3 linked regions of the Oryzias latipes genome follow. The protein of the gene in region 3 interacts with the protein of the main gene of each other region in a biochemical or structural test. Links are inferred from orthologs where the notes say so. Each region holds a gene or a part of one and is shown on either strand. Other genes may lie near its edges.

Region 1 (6,241 bases), on a different chromosome or scaffold from region 3:
GCATACACCACAATCTTTGTCTGGCTTACGTTTTGCAGCTTTAATGTGCATGCCTACTGTTACCTCCTGCAATCGCAGTATGTCTTCGTAGATGCAGTGACCCATGATTTCGTGCCAGGTTTGAACATTAGAACATTATTTTCACATCACATTGGTAAATCTGGTGCCATCAGGCACCTCAAGAACATTTTCACCCTCATCAAAGTGTCCCTTGGCACCATTAGCAGTGTCACACTTCATGAGGGGATGTAGACGGCGTTCTTCAACGTCATCGGCGCCCTTTACTGTTGAGGAGACGTACCTGTGCATCCCCTCTGCCTTGTGCCAACCCAGAAGTACGCCCTCCGTCTGCCAGCTCCATGCTGTGTCTCTCTGGCTTGGAGGTGCTGTTGAAGCTCTTGACCGGCTCCTGTCGTTGATAAAGTGGGACGACTCGTCCTTTTACCTGGATCTGCTCCGCTGGCGTCTTTCGTCTCTGTCTTAAACGTGAAGTCTGCCTTTTTTGCGGCTCCCCTGGTGTCGACCCGTCTGCAATGCGCTTCATGGCTTCTGCTGTCGCAGCAGTCGTCTTGAGCTTTAACCCGTCCACGTTCTTTCTTTCTGCAGGCTCCGTCTGTGGGGAATACAGCAGCTTTCTTTGAGCAGTCGTCTTTTTTCTGTCCTTTGTCTCCACATCTCCAACACACCAGGTCCGTTGGGGGTCCGCTCTTTTTCTTTGAGGCCGCTCGGGCTGTCAGCACTCTCTCTACCGTCTGGTCATCTCTGGGGTCTATATCTTCAGAGTTCCTGAATTTGGCTTTGAACTCTCCCAGCTTCATGTCTGCAGAGCTGTGCATAATGCCCTGTTTTTTTCGGGTAGTCCCCTCATAATCATCGCCGTCATCCATCCGTCGCTCGGAGCTTCACCCGCACTCATGAGCGCTGTAATGGTTTGCTCCGCCCTGATGATCTACTCCGTAACAGTCTTAACACTCCGAGACTCTCGGCCCTCGTCTTTAGTGTCTCTGAATATCAGGCCCAAGCTGGTATTGTTCAATAATGGCGCCAGCGGCCAGTATGCATCAGCGTTAAGCTAGTCATCTGGGGCCTCATTTATAAAGCTTTGCGTAGGATTTGCGTCAGAAGTGGCGTACGGATGAAACATAGGACGTGCGCACGCACAGAAATATTCAGATTTATAAAACCGTGCGCACGCACATCCTACGCATCTTTCCCTTAATAAATCACAACCGATTCTAAATGCAGCGCAGCTTTTGCGGCTTCATGACACGCCCATAGTTGCCCATAAATAGTCCGTGAAACGCCCACAAATGAATATTCATTGATTGCGAAACCATGGCAACACAGAGAGGAAATGAAAAAAACGTAACTTCACTCACTGTGAAGTAGAATTTATCGTTGGCGAGGTGGAAAAGAGGAGAAAAGTGTTGTTTGGAGGGCACAGTGTGGGCATTACTAAAGCCAAAAAGACACGTGAAAATGCTGTAGCCTAACAACCTCGGACCGTGGCCGAAGTAAAAAAGAAATGGTCGGACATCAAAGTCGCGGCAAAAAAGCGTCTGGCGCTGCATCGCCAGAGTGTGTCTGCCACGGGGGGGGGGGGGGGACACCGGAGCTGACCCCTCTTGAGAGACTGGCGGCAATAATTGGGGAATCCCTTAAGGGGAGTGGTGACTGAGGCGCAGGGGGACACGACGCGCCAGATGCACCGGGTGACACCCCCCCAAAAGCCCGCAGAGGTCCAAAGGGACGGCTCGAAGAAGTCGGAACCGGCTCATAAGACACTCGTCCTCGTTTGCCAGCAAGTCTTCTTGCTGTCTAAAGATGCGTTCTCTCCGAATTCTTCCATTTGCCACATCTTCCAAGAGCACAAGATCAGCCATTGTGCGTCATTACGCATTGTGATGGGGCATTTTATTTCCATCCATTTAATTACATCTGACAAGCTACAGATGTCGGTAATAATCGACGTGGAAATGGGAAATTGATCAGCAAATGTAATTTCTTGTTGCTTTATGAATGGTTGAGACATACGCCATACATTGTTTTATCAAAAATAAAACAAACTAAAGGCATATGCATGAATACCATAATTCCATAGCTTATGAAGAAATGTTTTAATATGAAAACAACTTTCCCCAGTGGACAATTAATGCATCCGTCCGTCTGTCTGATTCGCACGCATCTGGCGGCGCGTGCACACGCAGCGGCTCCTCTCTCCCCTACCTTAAGTGTTTTTTGGCTTTATCTTTTTGGGTTTCAAGGATTTATTGTTTTTAAAAGAATGTATTTTAAGTCGTAAGTCGTTTATTTATTATTGTACATGCTGCTTGCACTGTGGGGTGGGAGGAAAGCAATTTCATCTGTGCTGTATGTCTTACGGATGCAGCATATTTGACAATAAAGCTGACTTTGACTATATCTGCTCCTCCAGACGGACACACTGACGAGAATATCAGTTCTGTACATTATTTCGTTCTGTTAACTATATTATTTATGAGGATGAATTGCACAACATGCCAATTTGCAGAACATATTTCACTTTTCTTTTTGCAAATATGTGTTCATTTGAATTTCTGTTGTAATTTTTGTTTGATCTTTTTTGTTTGTTTCACTGCTGATCGATCAAACGGGTGTTTGTGTAGCTGTTAATTGTCAGACTTGCTTTGTGAAGTCTTCATGTTATTTCTGAGAGGCAGTATTGTCATTTTCACTTTCACGTGTTTCTTCCATCTGCCGACGGTGTCGCCGTTTCTCCTTTCACCCGTTTTTGTGCGTACGCCTGGGTCAGAGCGTGGAGGACCGCACATTTTCCCCTCAAGTTTGCTTTTTATAAATCTCAACTATTGCGTAGAGAGTGGCGTACGCCTTCTTTTGTGCGTACGCAACCTTTAGAAATGAGGCCCCTGGTGCTTGTTCATCCGCTGACGGAGGTCCGGCCGGATCGTTCAGGACCGTCTGCTTCAGTCCTACACTGAAACGTTCAGGGTTCATGCCCCTCTGCTCTCCCGTCCAATGTGGGACATTTAATCTTGGTTCTGTTCGCCATTTTGTGTCCATAGCTAAGCTAGCTGCTACTTCCAGCTCATTTCCGCTGTGCATGTGTCCGTCGTCTGGGTCTCTGGAACCATAACCTGCAGGTAGGCTGATGCCGTTTGTCCACCTGCAGCGGGACAATTCTGACCCAATCAGACGGACAGACACGTTTTTCTCAACAGGCCGAGCAAAACAGACAGAGGAGGAAGGAAGTGAACATCCTCCTTATATGGGCAGGTTCTGATTACTCACATGTCTGGTAGAACAGCGCCGCCTTCTGGTCACTAAATAGGTACTGTTACAAGCAGTCATATCTATATCAACACTGTCCAATAAAAAACGGGTTTCTAAAGACAAAATGCTTTTTTTTAGACTTTCTGTCAGGATCTTTTACGAAAATTGAAATTCTTCATTGGATGAAATGAAACCAACCTGAATCTCCTCTTCATCCTCCTCCTCCTGCAGGGGCTCCCGGCTCAGCTGCTCGTGGGGGGGGGCATAGATGTCTCGGAAAGGACCAGCCTCGCCGCTGGTGGCCGCGCGCTCGCACGAGCAGCGCGTGCTCCGCAGGTTTGATGAGCTCCGCCGCGAGGAGCAGCTGTGTGACGTCACGCTGGTGGTGGAGGACGTGCGCTTCAAGGCGCACAAAGCGCTGCTCGCGGCCAGCAGCGACTTCTTCTCCGTCATGTTCACGGCGGGGGAGCAGCTCCACCCCTCCACCCTCCGCCTGGACGGCATGACGGCGGACGCCTTCGCGGCCGCGCTCGACTTCATCTACGGCGCACAGGTGCGCGTGGAGGAGCGCGCCGCCGCGCCGTTGCTGAGCGCGGCGCGGCGCGTGGAGCTGGGGGAGCTGGTGCGAGCGCTCACCGAGCCGAGCCGTGACGGCGGGGGGGCAACCAAGCTGCTGCGGCGCAAACGAGGACGGCCCCGGAGGGAGGAGGGCGAAGCCCCGCCCACTGATGACGCGGCCACGCAGAGGCGCCACAGCGAGCGCAAAGTGCGGCCCCCGGCCAAGTTCAGAGGCTACAAGGTCAGCAGCGACCGTGCCGGGGGGGAGGAGGAAGAGGAGGCGGGACGGAGGGGGGGCAGGAAGAGACACCCCCCCTCAGAGGCGCGATGCAGGGACTGCGGGAAAGTCTTCAAACACCACCTGTTCCTGCAGGTTCACAGGAGGACTCACACAGGTAGGACCCCCCAGCAGGAGTCAGTTACCCCCCCCCCGACTGAAGTTGAGTCATGGGACGCCCGCCTTCTCTGCCCCCCAGGAGAGAAGCCCTTCCACTGCTCCGCCTGCGGGAAGAGCTTCACCCAGAAGCACACGCTGCAGGCCCACCAGCGCGTCCACAGCGGGGAGCGGCCCTTCGTCTGCGCCGTCTGCTCCAAGTCGCTGTCCTCCAAGCACTCGCTGCAGGAGCACATGAGCCTGCACCAAGGTCTGCCCCCACCGACCCCAAGAACCCACCCAGTCAGTGGCAGCTGCATCTGATCGCTGATGGACCCCCCCCCACAGAACCCCAGCTGATCCTAACAGGATCAGAACTTTGGATCAACTCTTTGTTCTGTGTCCACAGAGAAGACCTTCACCTGTGACAAATGTGAGAAGAGCTTCACTCAGAAGAGGCAGCTAAAGAACCACTACAGAACCCACACAGGTGAGGACACCTGCACACAGCCCCCCCCCCCACAAAGAAACCTGCAGCTCAGAGCCCCCCCCCCCCCCCCAGGTAAATCCTTACCAGAGTGTGCCGAGTGTCAGCGCAGGTTCATGGACACGGCCCAGCTGAAGAAGCATCTGAGGACTCACACAGGTAAGGGGCGGGGCTCGGTTAAGGCCCCTCCCACCGGGGGCGGGGGGCTCGGTCTGGACGTCTAAGAACAGCCTTGCGTCCACAGGAGAGAAGCCGTTCACCTGTGAGATCTGTGGAAAGTGCTTCACCGCCAAGAGCACGCTGCAGACACACATCCGGATCCACAGGTGAGTCCAGGAGGAGGGCGGGGCCTCCCCCTCCACCCCCTCACAGATCTTTTCAAATGGATGTTTGCAGACTTCCATATGCATTGTAAAAATGCACCATTTTTCTGTGGCTGCAGAGGGGAGAAGCCCTTTGACTGCGGCGTCTGCGGGAAGACCTTCTCGGACCCGAGCGCCAGGCGGCGCCACGCCGCCACCCACTCAGGGAAGAAAGCCTTCACCTGCTCCGTCTGCAGCCTGTCCTTCACCCGCCTTGACAACCTGAAGACGCATGCCAAAACGCACAGCAGGGAGGGTGGCGCCGCGGACGCGCAGGAGGAGCCGCGCGGCGCCTTACTGCTGCAGCCCCCCCTCGGCTCAGAGCCGGAGATCCAGCTGCTGGTGACGGACCAGAACCTTAGCTTTGCTGCAGGTCAGCAGGAGATCAGCCTCCTGGCTGCTGACGGGGGCGCAGCTCACCCCACCCACTCCAAGTTCACGCTGCTTGCTCAGACCGATGCCGTGACTCCTCCGATTCACGCAGTCAGCATGCTGGACCCCCACCCTGAGCAGATGCACATCATCACGCTTAGCAAGGAGGCGGTGGAGCAGCTGCAGGCCCACCACGACACCCCGCCCTCCCACGGCACCGCACCTGGACAGGTGAGCAGGCCACCGAGCCGGGCCATTCACGTCAGCAGCCAGAGCGGCCAGCCCATCTCCATCAGCCAGACCGGCCAGCAGCTCTGCAGCCACCACATCCAGGGGCAGAGCTTCCAGATCCAGGCTGGAACCGTGTCCTACCTGTACGCCAGCGGGCTCCCCCAGGACACGCCCCCTCCTGAGACCACGCCTCTGCAGAAGCTTCCGGGCTCCTGAGTTCATGTCATGAATCGCCCCCACCCCAGGTAAACGCTGAGGTTCTTTGGATGATTTTGGATCAGAATCTGAGCTGAAGCGCCCCCCCCCTTCTGAAAACAGAAACAAACTGGAGAACCTTTTGGAAATAAAGTTTTTTCTCTTCAGGTCTGTGATCTTTGGGAAGCCTGGTGGTGGGAGCATGATGATAGGGGATTGTGAGGTTCAGATCCAGCATCCAGTTTAGATTTTCAGATTAAAAGCTGAGGGTGGAGGTTCTGGTGGATGAGGCCGACCTCCGACCTCAGCAGCTGAGTGATTTAGTAGTTAAAGCTGCAAGCTCCAACCTGAAGAAACTTTTACTTTGAAAAGTTGAAACCATTTTAGTGATAA
Region 2 (6,013 bases), on a different chromosome or scaffold from region 3:
GGGCGGGACTTTCATTTCAGACGGTGGCGTTCAGGGCCAGTTCGAAAAGCCTACGGCTTGGTGATTTTATTTCTCAGCAGCGGACGCGTGAGTCCAGCGGGAGGCGCCGTCGCTCTAACCCTCAGGCGCGTAGATCTTAATGAGGTGTTGAGGTGCGCTGGGGAAGCCTGTGACGGGGCAGCAGCGGTGCTCCTTCACGTGCGCGTAGATGCACGGGTAGCAGAAGACGAAGCTGGAGGTGGACAGCGCCGTGGCATTGGCGCACAACTTGTGGCAGAGCGGGCAGCTCCGGCTGTTCGAGTCCTGCTGCAGGTGGAGGGGGGGCGGGGGTGCAGGCAGGGACGTGAGACCCCTCACGGTGCTCTGGTTGTCTGGCGAGTACCACCACTCCAGGAACTGCAAGAAGAAGACGCCCATGGACAGGAAGGTGGACAGAGAGGTGGCCACGCCCCTCGCCGCCTGTGACATCATCCAACCGACCCTGCAGCCAAACAGAAACATGGTTAAGAACATTTTTTTTCTGCCACTTTGGACCTAAACCTCTAAAACCAGGACAGAACTGGGTCTACCTGCTGTGAGCGGGGTCGTCAGACCCCTCGATGTTTCGGAAATCTGCAGCAGTCAGTCGGGTCAGTCGGACCCTGGCCAGCCAGAGCAGCGGGCTGTGGGTTCTGGAGGATCCAAAGACGAAGAGCAGCTGCTGGCAGAAGACCCAGACGCGCCACGCCGAGCTGATGTACGGGAACGCCGCCACCGCCGCGCTGTACAGCCTCCGTGTCCTCGACCGTGCCAACTGGATGGAGAAGTCCTCCTCATCCCTCTGCCGGACCAGCCGGGCCTCCAGTTTGGCCCGCAGGTACGGAACCAGGCACAGCAAAAGAAGAGAGCGCCAGTGGGCGGGACGGCGCAGCCCCTTGTGCACAGGACGTTCCCGCCCTTCTGACACTCTCTTTAAGCCGTAAAAGTTCTCAGAAAAGGAGGCGCTGTAGCGGGACAAGAAGTGGTTCTGGAGCAGCAGGTCCAGAAGCAAGTAGAGCTCATCAAAAGTCCTCCACAGACAGCCAAAGCGGGCCGGGCTGGACTCCGCCAGAACCTGAAGCGGTCAGAGAGTCAGAGCTGGCGTTCTTCTAGTGAGGAGCCAGAACTATTGGAGCCTCACCTTGACGGCGTGCTGCACCGCCGGACGGACGGCCTCCAGCAGCGACTCCTGGGCCAGAACCTCAAAGATGGACGGCTGCTCACCGATGGAGGTGGAGGTGAGATGGGCCCCCGCCTCGGCCATGGCTGCCGGCCTGAGGGACCAAACCACTGGATGTTAGAGGAACGGTGCAGGTGGGTCCAGAACCAGAACAGACTGGGTCCAATTTTTACCAAACTGTACAGCTAGATGGCTCTGATGTTGCTCGCCATTTTCTGCTAGTGTTAGGTTGGGGGTGTGAGGGACAGAGTGTTGACAAAAAGGTCTATGTTATATGTGATGGAAACGGGGGGCGGGGTTGCTGTGCACCACAGTTCAGAGGGGAATTTCTAATGAACTCCTGCCACTCTGCAGGAACTATGTCCTAGAAAACGACAGATTTTTTAAAAATTTTAGTCAAAAACAACATAATGGTGAATAGATCAAAAAATGATCGGAGCGGGAAAACTAAGAACTGTTCTAAGAGGTTTTTTATAAGATGGACCAGGTTCCCATTAGAAATCTCTGCATGAACTTTATTAAGGTCACTTTGTTACCGTTTCCTGTGAGTCCACAGGCCCACTTGAGAGTCTGCAGGCCCACCTCTGAATCCACAGGCCCACCTGAGAGTCTGCAGGCCCACCTGTGAATCCACAGGCCTACCTGTGAATCCACAGGCCCACCTGAGAGTCTGCAGGCCCACCTGTGAATCCACAGGCCTACCTGTGAATCCACAGGCCCACCTCTGAATCCATAGGCCCACCTGTGAATCCACAGGCCCACCTGTGAATCCACAGGCCCACCTGAGAGTCCACAGGCCCACCTGAGAGTCTGCAGGCCCACCTGTGAATCCACAGGCCCACCTCTGAATCCATAGGCCCACCTGTGAATCCACAGGCCCACCTGTGAATCCACAGGCCCACCTGAGAGTCCACAGGCCCACCTGAGAGTCTGCAGGCCCACCTGAGAGTCTGCAGGCCCACCTGTGAATCCACAGGCCTACCTGTGAATCCACAGGCCCACCTGAGAGTCTGCAGGCCCACCTGTGAATCCACAGGCCCACCTGAGAGTCTGCAGGCCCACCTGTGAATCCACAGGCCCACCTCTGAATCCATAGGCCCACCTGTGAATCCACAGGCCAACCTGTGAATCCACAGGCCCACCTGAGAGTCTGCAGGCCCACCTGTGAATCCACAGGCCCACCTGTGTGACCACGTACAACATGTTTTTTTCTGTTTCTTCTGCTGTCTTCTGTTAGAAAAACTTTGTCCCTGACTTGAAAAAATGTTTGGACAGTGCCTCAGAAATGATTCATTGAGAATCAATGAATTCCTACATAGAATCTACTCCACTAATCAGTTCATGTAAAGATTTAAAACATGTCAATACAACTGTACACTCTGTAAAACAAACCCAGAAACAATTAGTGACTTATTTAGAGAGTGAGATATTACCTAAAAAAAAAAAGAATGTATGAAAACAACACAAAATTGAACATAAAAATTGCAATTGACATCCATTCATTCATCTTCTTAACCGTTTTATTCCCTTTCGGGGTCACGGGGTTGCCGGAGCCTATCCCAGCCACTTTGGCGTGGGCAAGGGATGCCCTGGACTGGCGACCAGTCTGTCGCAGGGTAGAATATCCTCAATCAGACATCCATTCACTCTCACACTCACACCTATGGACAATTTAGAGTTGCCAATCAACCTATGCAATTGACATCCAGTACAGACCAAAGGTTTGGACACACCTTCCCATTCATTTAAATGAGGTCTGTACTGTATAGATTCTATTTTTTTCAGTCTCATCTACACAAAGCTACATTCTCTTCATCCCAACTTTTTTCCCTGTAAGAATTCAAGCAATAGAATCTCACCATTTCCCATAGTGTTAAACAAAATAATCATAAATACATATTGTCTGCCTATGAACAGTTTTAATTTATTATGATGCATGTTTTGTATTCATATGCCATCTCCTAGCATTTTAATAGTTCCATTTGTTCTGTATGTTTGCTGTAGTTTGCACATTTTAACAACAACAACAATCTACCGTGCCAAACACGTTCTCTTTTTAAGGCACATGGATGTCTGGACATGCGCAGTCGCGATCAGAACTTTTTGCGATTCTTTCACTTCAACTGAACTCAGATCCGAACAGAACCGGCTCAAAAGCCACGTTACAGCTGTGTGAGTGACTTATGGTATGCCTGATCAGTACCAACCCGGTCCGGTTCGAGGCGGGAACACTAAGATAAAAAGAAAAAAACAAACAAACCGGGCCGGGTTCACGCCCTCAGCATCAGAACTGGACTGTTGGTATCGATCCCAACCACGGCGTTGGAGGCTCCTTGCAGAGATTCGGATCGGTTCTGGTGATTTGGTTTTGTTTCTTCCGCCTTCTCTTCTTCTCTGAACTGTCAGCTTTCATCAGCGTTGCTGCCACCTGCTGGACAGAGGCGGAAGCGCAGGGCGGGACGTCTGCAGTTCATTTCAACCAGACGTTCCAACAGAAACTTCCCGAGTTTTTCAGCTTTTGTCTGCAAGCACATCGTCTAATAATTCCTTTTCTATCCTTATTGCTTTGCTAAAAAAGAAAAAAAAAGGTAAATGTGCTTTAAGAAGACTTGCATTGTTATTTTAAAGATAGAATCATGCGTAGATAAAGTGAAACACTTTTTTTTATCCATCCTTCAATCTTTTTTTGTTTTCATCAACTATGGAAAACCTGATCTACTATTATCCATAATTAATAATGTTATGCTTAGATCTGCTTGTTAGTATAAATTATTTATGTGTATTTATTCATAAACCAAAACATTTTCACAACAAAAAAACAGTCACTTTGCATCAGACTGTTGCGGTGCTCTATTTTTTTTTCTTTTTATAATTTTCCGCCAGGTTCTTTCCTCCTCATTTGGTCAAAATCCAAACAGGCCAAGAATAATTTATATTTTACTGTTATAATTTAACTGTTTATGCTTTTTATTGCTTTTTTGACGTTGTCATGTCCTGTGCCATGGAGTGTGGTCATGTTTAGGCTCAATACGATTTTTAGCAAAGCAACCCCTTAACCACCCCAAATATATAACAGCGTAAATGTAATGCTTTATTTTAAAATAAACTTTAATTGTACAAAATGTTGTTGCATGTCATCCCTTCCCATTTAACATTTAATGTGTTTCATGTATGTCTCGTTTGTGTTAAAAATGTGACACAAAACCGCACTGAAAAGATAAGTCGTTGAGGTACGCAGTAGCACCGTCTCAACAGAGAGGGCGCTGGTGAACTCGTTTGTTCCACATTTGTTACTAATAAAGTTTATTCAATGAGAGCCAGTATTTTGTGGCTGTGTCTGAATTCCTACCCTACTCCTTAACTACTAAAAAACTACACAGTACAGCACTATGTAGTGCTCTGGATTTTAAAAGTAATTTGGACACCATGCTCACTACTTTTTTTTTTAACGGCAAATATGTCGTCATCAATTTCAAGAATTCGAAATCTAATTGATATGAGAGTTTTGTAACGATTATTCACGAGTCCAATGTCTTCTGCAGAGAAAAACTTTCACATTTTTCCTCTCTCTTCTCCCTCTGTAAGAAAAGAGAAAGAAAATATATATTAAAATATAATTTGTAATAAATAAATAAATAAAATAAAAAAAGGGGCTTATCCAAATATATTCAATTCAATTCAATTCAATTTTATTTGTATAGCCCAAAATCACAACAACAGTCGTCTCGATGGGCTATACACCCTTATCCGAAGATACATACATAACCCCCTTATTGTAGTAAAACCTGTCCAAAGGAAATGGCCGCCAGCTCTCATCTGTTTGCTCAGTTGTTGGAAAGAACAAGTTAAAAGAAAAAGAAAAAAGATTCAAAGGTGGACTTTGATTTATAACATTAAGTAATAATTAATGGATGGCCGACGCTGAGCACACATCTTTATTGAGACTTCTGTAACGGAAAGAAGATAAGAAGGGTTTTTTACGTTAAAGTCACAGAGATTTTTGTCCAGAAGGAGACACGAATGGACTTCATTTACAAGTAAAGGTTTGACCAGTGTGTGTGTGTGTGTGTGTGTGTGTACTGTTGCTTACTTTGCCTTTTCTGACTTTTAGTCAAAGTTCCTTGAGTTTTTGTAATTTCATGTGGTGAATCAGGGTCTATGTTTACGGGGACAAAAAGAATAAAGTATCCACGTTTTATGATCTTTTCTGAAGTATTTTGGTGGATCTACAGCTCCTGTCTTACTTCCCATTACTTTTAGTATAGTTCATGTGGATCTAAAAAGGAACCATAGGCACAATTTACATAATTTACACAAACTTCTTTCCATTCTGGCTTTAGTAGGTGACTTCTAAACAGACATGACAACACGGTTTATGCATTTTGCACAGATGCTTTTAATACAAATTAAATATGGGGCTTTCTGGTAGGACTTACAAAAAACTGGGAGCAGTGATACAAATCAAATCAATTTTGAACATGCAATATAATTTGCCAAGATGATGCTTCGCTGCAGGCAGTGTTGTGCATTTTTGTCTTGCATACCTGGAAGATGGGAATTCACTGGTGCAACTTTAACACAAATCCAAAAGAAGATAAAAACATCACAAAAACTGGTAGAAAGTGTTTGTATTTTCTGTTTTAGTAAATATGTTTACATTAGACAGAAAGAATTAGGAATTGCAATTGTTGAGCTTGATATGGAACCAGTCATGGTAACAAAAGCTGACACAGTTGTGTTTTTCTTTTTTTGCTGCAGGGAAAAAGGGGAAATAGTGCGCTGCAGTGGTCTGAGTGCTCCACTCCTGTGTTCAAA
Region 3 (6,178 bases):
ACAAAATCCAGCCTTGGATGCACTTAAAATATGTGCAGGCAATGCAGCAATGCACCATCTTCTCTTCTCACGCACCTGAGCTTGTGCACGCCTGGCGGGGCAGATCAGGGAGCTTCTGCAATGCGCTTGCACTACTAGGCCATTGTGACATCACAACGCCTCATTCATATAAACAGCGCGTCTTTGCGTCAGTTTAATTGCCACTGATTTAAAAGGAGAAATACTCAGAAATGAAAAAAAGAAATTATTTTTTATTACATTTGTTCTCTTTCATAAGAAAAATGTCAGATATACATAAAAAAACAACAACATGATTTTTAATGGAGGGGGACTTTAAAGACATTTGTAATGTACATATTGTAGCTTATAAACATTAAAATGTGATAACAGTTAGATCCGCTAAATCAGTGAGACAACTGCAGTAAATCATAGACCGGAAGAAACTCCAGTTACCTGCAGCCTCAGCAATAAATTCTCTGGTCCAATCAGAATCTGCTGAATCACCAAGAGAGGTGAGACCCGGTGTGGTGGCAGAATCCGAACTGGAGAGGAACTCGGCAGCCCAATCACCAGAGAGGGCCAGTGCGGCCACATCAGGAGCTAAAACAAGAAGTGAGGATATCATTTTCTGAAATGTGCTGAGATCACATGGCAGAGAGAAAAATTGTATAAAATGTATGAATAAATTGGAAGAATGATGTGCACCTCTCTGTGGAGCTTGTCTGTAGCTTTGCTGATCGATCTGCTGCATTTCCTCTAATAGCTGACCCATGTCAAATGTGGTGGGGGGGCGTGGCGGGGCCTGAAGGAACTCATTCACCAACTGGAGCAAAAACCAAAAAAAAAAAGAAAAAACATTTCACAGCTGTAAGTATTTGAAAGATAGCTTTCATGCATAAAATATAACAATTCTAAAAACTTGAGGTGAATATTTCAAATATTTAAAAGGATATTTTAGTATAAAGGGACAGAAAACTAAACAGACCTCTTGTTCGGTTGCAATTTCAATAGGAGTTGGTGGAATCTGAGAAAAAGCGGTAAAGAAAACAGAACCGGTTCATTAAATGCATTTTATTCTGCTGTAATGGAATAAAAAAAACAGCTAATGTTACATTAGTTAGTAATGCCCAACATTACTCACTGCAGGGCTGGTGCGGTGCTGCCATGTCCCCTCTTCTTTGGTCATGTGACTGGCCAACTTCATGAGGGGATTGGCTCCACCACATTCGGCCTCCACCAATTCTCGCATCGCCATGGCAACGGAAGGAAGAGGCAAACCCCACTAGAGTACGTAAAAGCTAAAAAAAATAAATAAATAAGGATTGCGAAATACATGCATTTCTGTTTCACAACAAAAAATGAAAGCAACAGATTAAATAGATTTATGAACAAAGGACTGTTGTGCAAATGACAATAAAATGAATTAAAAATGACTGATTACTTTAACTTAGACTTTGACCAAAAAATGAAAAGGACTGGAAACAACTTTTATTGGCAAACTGAAACTCTAAATACTGCCAAAAACTTACCAAGACACTTTTTCACAAATATATTTATTTATGATTAAGATTAAGAATTAAATTATTTATTAGTGTCCGTGAACGTAATCATATTTGAATGAATAACTATCCTATGTTTGAAATATCTTTGTATAGATTTACATTTCTGTTGTTCGTCTTGTTTTTGCATTCTTTTTGCTCTGATTGCTTGAAATAAACCATTTCCAAATCCAAATCCAAATATTTAGAGCTATGACATATTGTATCCCAAACTATTCGTATCTGAAATCTGAACAAAAAAAATCAAATGTGTATTTTGTCACCAAACATAGTAAGATATCTGAGAGGAAATGCAGCATTATTAATATTCTTTAAAATCTGAGCTTCAAAGTATTATCTTGAATCACTTCCTGGTTTCTGTCAAGTGTTTTATTATAAATTAAACCTGCCAGTTGCTGCCATCTTACGAATACAATCACAAACATGCAATATTGCTCTTTCTTTTTACATTTTAGCTCCACATAAAAGGTCCAGAAAACGAATCATTTAACAGCTGACGAGCCAGATGAAGAGAAAGCCTGAGGGTTTAAACATTGCACAAAAAGCCCCATGCCTTGTCAACAAATTTAAAACTCCATCTGTCGCATTTTCATGCCAGTTAATGGCTTTTAGTGAACTGTTAATAATGAGGACACGGATTGTAAGCCTTGCAGCGCACGGGGATGTTTACCACACATTTACATAGTGAATCAAAATTGATTTGGGGCAATTTGTGCTTTCCCTGGGTTACAGTGTTCACAATGAAGAAAAGCTTTTATTCTGTATGGATGAGTGCATTCAGACTGCTGTGAGGTCTTAAAGCCTCAGGTCTGAAGGTCTGAGCTGTGTGGGGACAGACTCGTGTAAAAATGTTACAATCGCCTCTAGAATAGATAGATCAGTCACGATGTAAACATACACACAAGGATCTAATTATGAAAATAATAACAGTAAAAAATAAAAAACAAGGAATACAAGCTTGCATCAACTAAATAAAATAAAAAACAACTAATCACGTAAAGTATACATACATACATAAGAGAATTGCAATCTTTTTTTCTGTCCAACTGTCATCTCCCCAAAATAAATCTCATCGTTTTTAGTGTTGGCATAAGCATCCTAGTGAGTCACACCTCTGACCGCTGCATAATGATTAGGATCGAAGTAGTAAGAGGATTAACAAAGATATTAATAAAATATTGTCACAGACAACACATGCTGCCTTAGTTAGACACACGTCTACGTCACACTTCAGGTATTTGGAAGAGCAACGTAAATGTTTTAATCAAGGCAATCTTAATGTATCTTTTAAATGTGCACACATAGTTGGGAGTAACTACAAATATTGGCATCAGAGTGTACAGAGGTTCTGCACTAACCTAAGCTAACTGTAGCCTCAGTCCCAAACGGTAAAATTAGCTACATGTGTCAGGATGTGTTTCGTCTTTGTGTAGTCAACCTCAACCCATTAAAAACCCCAATATTAGACAGAAAGAAAACATATTAATACCTAAAGAGTTCGACTCTAACATAAGCATGGCTAGAGTTAGCTAACGAGCAGGTTACATGGTACAAAGATCATTCTTGTACGGCACAGTGAGTCCGAATTGAATAAGCATGGTGGTTGTTGTTGTTCATCTCACCGCCGACAGCTACTGCTGCTGCTGCCGCAGTCGCTCCTCTGTGGCCCGGGTGTCCTCTCTAGCTTCTGCTCCGAGGGCCGTGTCTGAATCTAGCACCGTTCGAACCGCAGCCGCTTTATGCTCCTAATGTTTATCTTCCACCTCCATGACCCACAGAACCATCCACAGACTCCTTTGAGATCTGCCGTACGTTACGTTACGTAGGTTACGTATATTCTTTAACGACGTTACGTAGGAAGAGAGAGAGAGAGAGAGAAGCTATGTTACATTGATTAAAATAAAATAGAATAAATTATACAATGGCCACTGATAATTGTTTAATTAAATTTCACATGCCAAGGTTATTTTCATTTAACCAAATTTTCTAATTTTCTCATGCCAATAGTAAACAGTAAAATACATCTTGTGTTTGGCTCACTTGAAGTTTTGCAGACATCATTTGTGTACCCAAATGATTTTTTTAAAACTTTTATTTCTAATCAGAAGAGGTTATTCTCTGCCAACATTGGTAGGTACACCATTAGCTGTTATTGTTATTAATTATAATATTACCATTCTTAGAAGCCAGTGAATCTTACCAGACTGATACTCTTTAGTCCTCCCACAAAAATAAAAACATTGCAATGTGATATACATTAACTTAAGCAGAACAAACTGTTCTGTTATTTTCTGCTCCTGTAGGCTGGAGAATTCAGTCATGTTTGCTGAAGGCTGTGTTTTATATAATTAGATATCAGTAGAAGCCAAGGCCATTTTTCCATACACTAGTTCTCCTTTAAAATTGTTTAGCCTTATATGAATGCATGGATTGAAATCATAGAAAACCTCATTAAATTAAATCAAACTATGTTTAAAAATACTTTAAATGTTCACAGTCAATATAAAAGTAAAACTGCTACCTTTTAGAAAACAGAGATATCAATTCAAAATGCATACGACTCATCTACAATCTAATAGGTAAAACATGGGGCTGCATATCAGAAAAACTTGCAATATCCAGTATTAGTGATCAATATTGTGATGACGATATTACTTGCGGTACATGAACAAATAGCAAAACAACCAAAAACATCTATCCCATTTCACTGGAACAGTTTAAAAATTATACTCCAAATGACCCTCGTCTACATAGGAGGCGAACATCTAACATAAAAGGGCTCCATCCGATTGGACCACAACATGAAGACGTCCATCCGGTTGGTCAAATCCATAAAGAGATTTATTTGATTCATTAAATACTTCACGCTGGCATAAGATAAGGTAACCATTTATTGCAATTTTCGCGGACTTTTGCAATATGCATATTGCACAGCTTGATCTTGCAATAACAATAAATTTGCGATTCATTGTGCAGGCCTAGTAAAAGACTGTAATATAATATATAATAAGACATACTGTCTGCTGCTTTAGGTGATGTAACCTTTGTGCTATCCTAGGCACTTTAACATTGGGTGTTGGGTCATCTAGACCCACTAGAGAGTGCGCTGAACCTTTTTTCTTCAATGATTTGTGAACCTCACTGGTGTCCATGAATTACATGAAATCTTTCCACCTTTATCATGGTAGGGAGAACATGTCAATGTAAGGGTGGGGTCATCTAAGATAGCACAAGGGTTAAAGTGAAAGTGATTGTGTTAGTGTGTTAACAGGAAAATAAGTTTAATATGGATACTGGGATTTTGTTGGGTGGCAGTTTCAGTGAATGCACACACTAGCAAGGAAACTTTTCTCATGGAGACGTCATATAGTGGCTTTTATTATGAATTTTGTAATGTTTTCTGACACTTCTCAGTAACAATTAGTCAGCTTAATCCACATTGTCAGTGTATCGATAATCACAGGTAAATCTCCAAACCGTAACATAGTATTAATATAAGTTATTTATTAATGCAATGTTTATTGGCTCTTTAACATCACACTCAAAAACAAGAGGCTTTATTTACTGACAACCTTAGCACTGCACATTGATAGGATACACAGACAGCAAGAGACACAGAGGGAGAGTGATGGAGAGGTGAAGGGAAAAGGCGAGTGGAGCGTGATGGGAAGGTAAAAATGACAAGCACACAGTTGTACATTTATTAAACCAAAATTACTAGAAGTAATGAAAACAACATAAAATATGGTCAACAAATAAAACAAAAAAATGGGGGAAAAAACCCTTGAAATGAGTGAAAGTCTTACAACAATGTGCTCTCCTTTTTTGTGACTCAGATATTGACAGGTTCATAAATTACAACATTATTACACACAAATTAGGAGACACTCATCAAGCCATGGGAATATCATCCTTATCACTACTACTATTTATCATTATTATATTACTTCTTTGAGTTGAAAAGTGATTCCTCATGTGGAAAAATGTTAAATTATAATCTGCTCCCTCTCAAAAATGTGCAGTAAAAGAGTGGATGCAAAATATAATAGTAATATCAATAACATCATAGTAGTCTTCATTGTATATACAGAAAGTTCATTACAATCAATACAATCAAAACTGCCCAAGCTGAGCGGACATTCTGAAAACAGCGAGGGGTAATGTTATGGAGTGTGTGTTTCCATGTAGAGCAGTGTTGTGGAGAGAGTCTATCTGCATGATAGCTGCTGCAGTTTTAACTCAATTCATTGTAGAAAATGCAACTTTGTAAATGCTCAGAATTGAACAAAGAAGTTTCATTTTGTATTCTATGAGTGTTGAAAAAGTGCCAGCTTGAGTGAGGGTTGTGCAAGAAAGCGTTTCAGTATTGTCAGGAGACTCAGATACAACGTAGCTTGAATCTGAAGAAGTAAACTAATCTCACAATAGAGGGAAGAACACCTACAGGTACGCCAGATTTAAGGTTTTTGTGGCTGTTACTTCTGAACTTGATGTCTTCACTCTTTGAGGGTAAAGGAATGTGTCGGAGGAGGTCGCAAAGAAAAATACGAGCTTGTGCACAGACTTCCCAATGCAGTTTTACAAAAAGTTCAGAGAGACGCATGTGTCGTCATCCACAA

What was found.
Region 1: the proteins of pex5 (region 3) and ddo form a complex in vitro, tested with the Homo sapiens proteins (2 studies listed by BioGRID, with this or other methods). The link is inferred for Oryzias latipes from reciprocal best matches to the Homo sapiens genes PEX5 and DDO.
Region 2: the proteins of pex5 (region 3) and pex12 form a complex in vitro, tested with the Homo sapiens proteins (2 studies listed by BioGRID). The link is inferred for Oryzias latipes from reciprocal best matches to the Homo sapiens genes PEX5 and PEX12.

What each region holds. Positions count from the first base shown.
Region 1 is NC_019880.2:552,643-558,883, reverse strand, and holds the start of ddo (D-aspartate oxidase), read right to left. Parts: upstream 3,724-6,241; coding exon 3,469-3,723; intron 614-3,468; coding exon 302-613; intron 1-301. Other genes in the region: zinc finger and BTB domain-containing protein 24-like, read left to right, coding at 3,722-3,917, 4,016-4,223, 4,305-4,504, 4,611-4,691, 4,764-4,847, 4,933-5,014, 5,131-5,869. UniProt on the Homo sapiens protein: Selectively catalyzes the oxidative deamination of acidic amino acids. Suppresses the level of D-aspartate in the brain, an amino acid that can act as an agonist for glutamate receptors. Protects the organism from the toxicity of D-amino acids.
Region 2 is NC_019866.2:23,911,538-23,917,550, forward strand, and holds the start of pex12 (peroxisome assembly protein 12), read right to left. Parts: upstream 3,724-6,013; 5' UTR 3,459-3,723; intron 1,293-3,458; 5' UTR 1,283-1,292; coding exon 1,160-1,282; intron 1,094-1,159; coding exon 570-1,093; intron 482-569; coding exon 115-481; 3' UTR 1-114. UniProt on the Homo sapiens protein: Component of a retrotranslocation channel required for peroxisome organization by mediating export of the PEX5 receptor from peroxisomes to the cytosol, thereby promoting PEX5 recycling.
Region 3 is NC_019874.2:20,499,800-20,505,977, reverse strand, and holds the start of pex5 (peroxisomal biogenesis factor 5), read right to left. Parts: upstream 3,378-6,178; 5' UTR 3,182-3,377; intron 1,299-3,181; 5' UTR 1,256-1,298; coding exon 1,142-1,255; intron 1,025-1,141; coding exon 986-1,024; intron 824-985; coding exon 706-823; intron 601-705; coding exon 454-600; intron 1-453.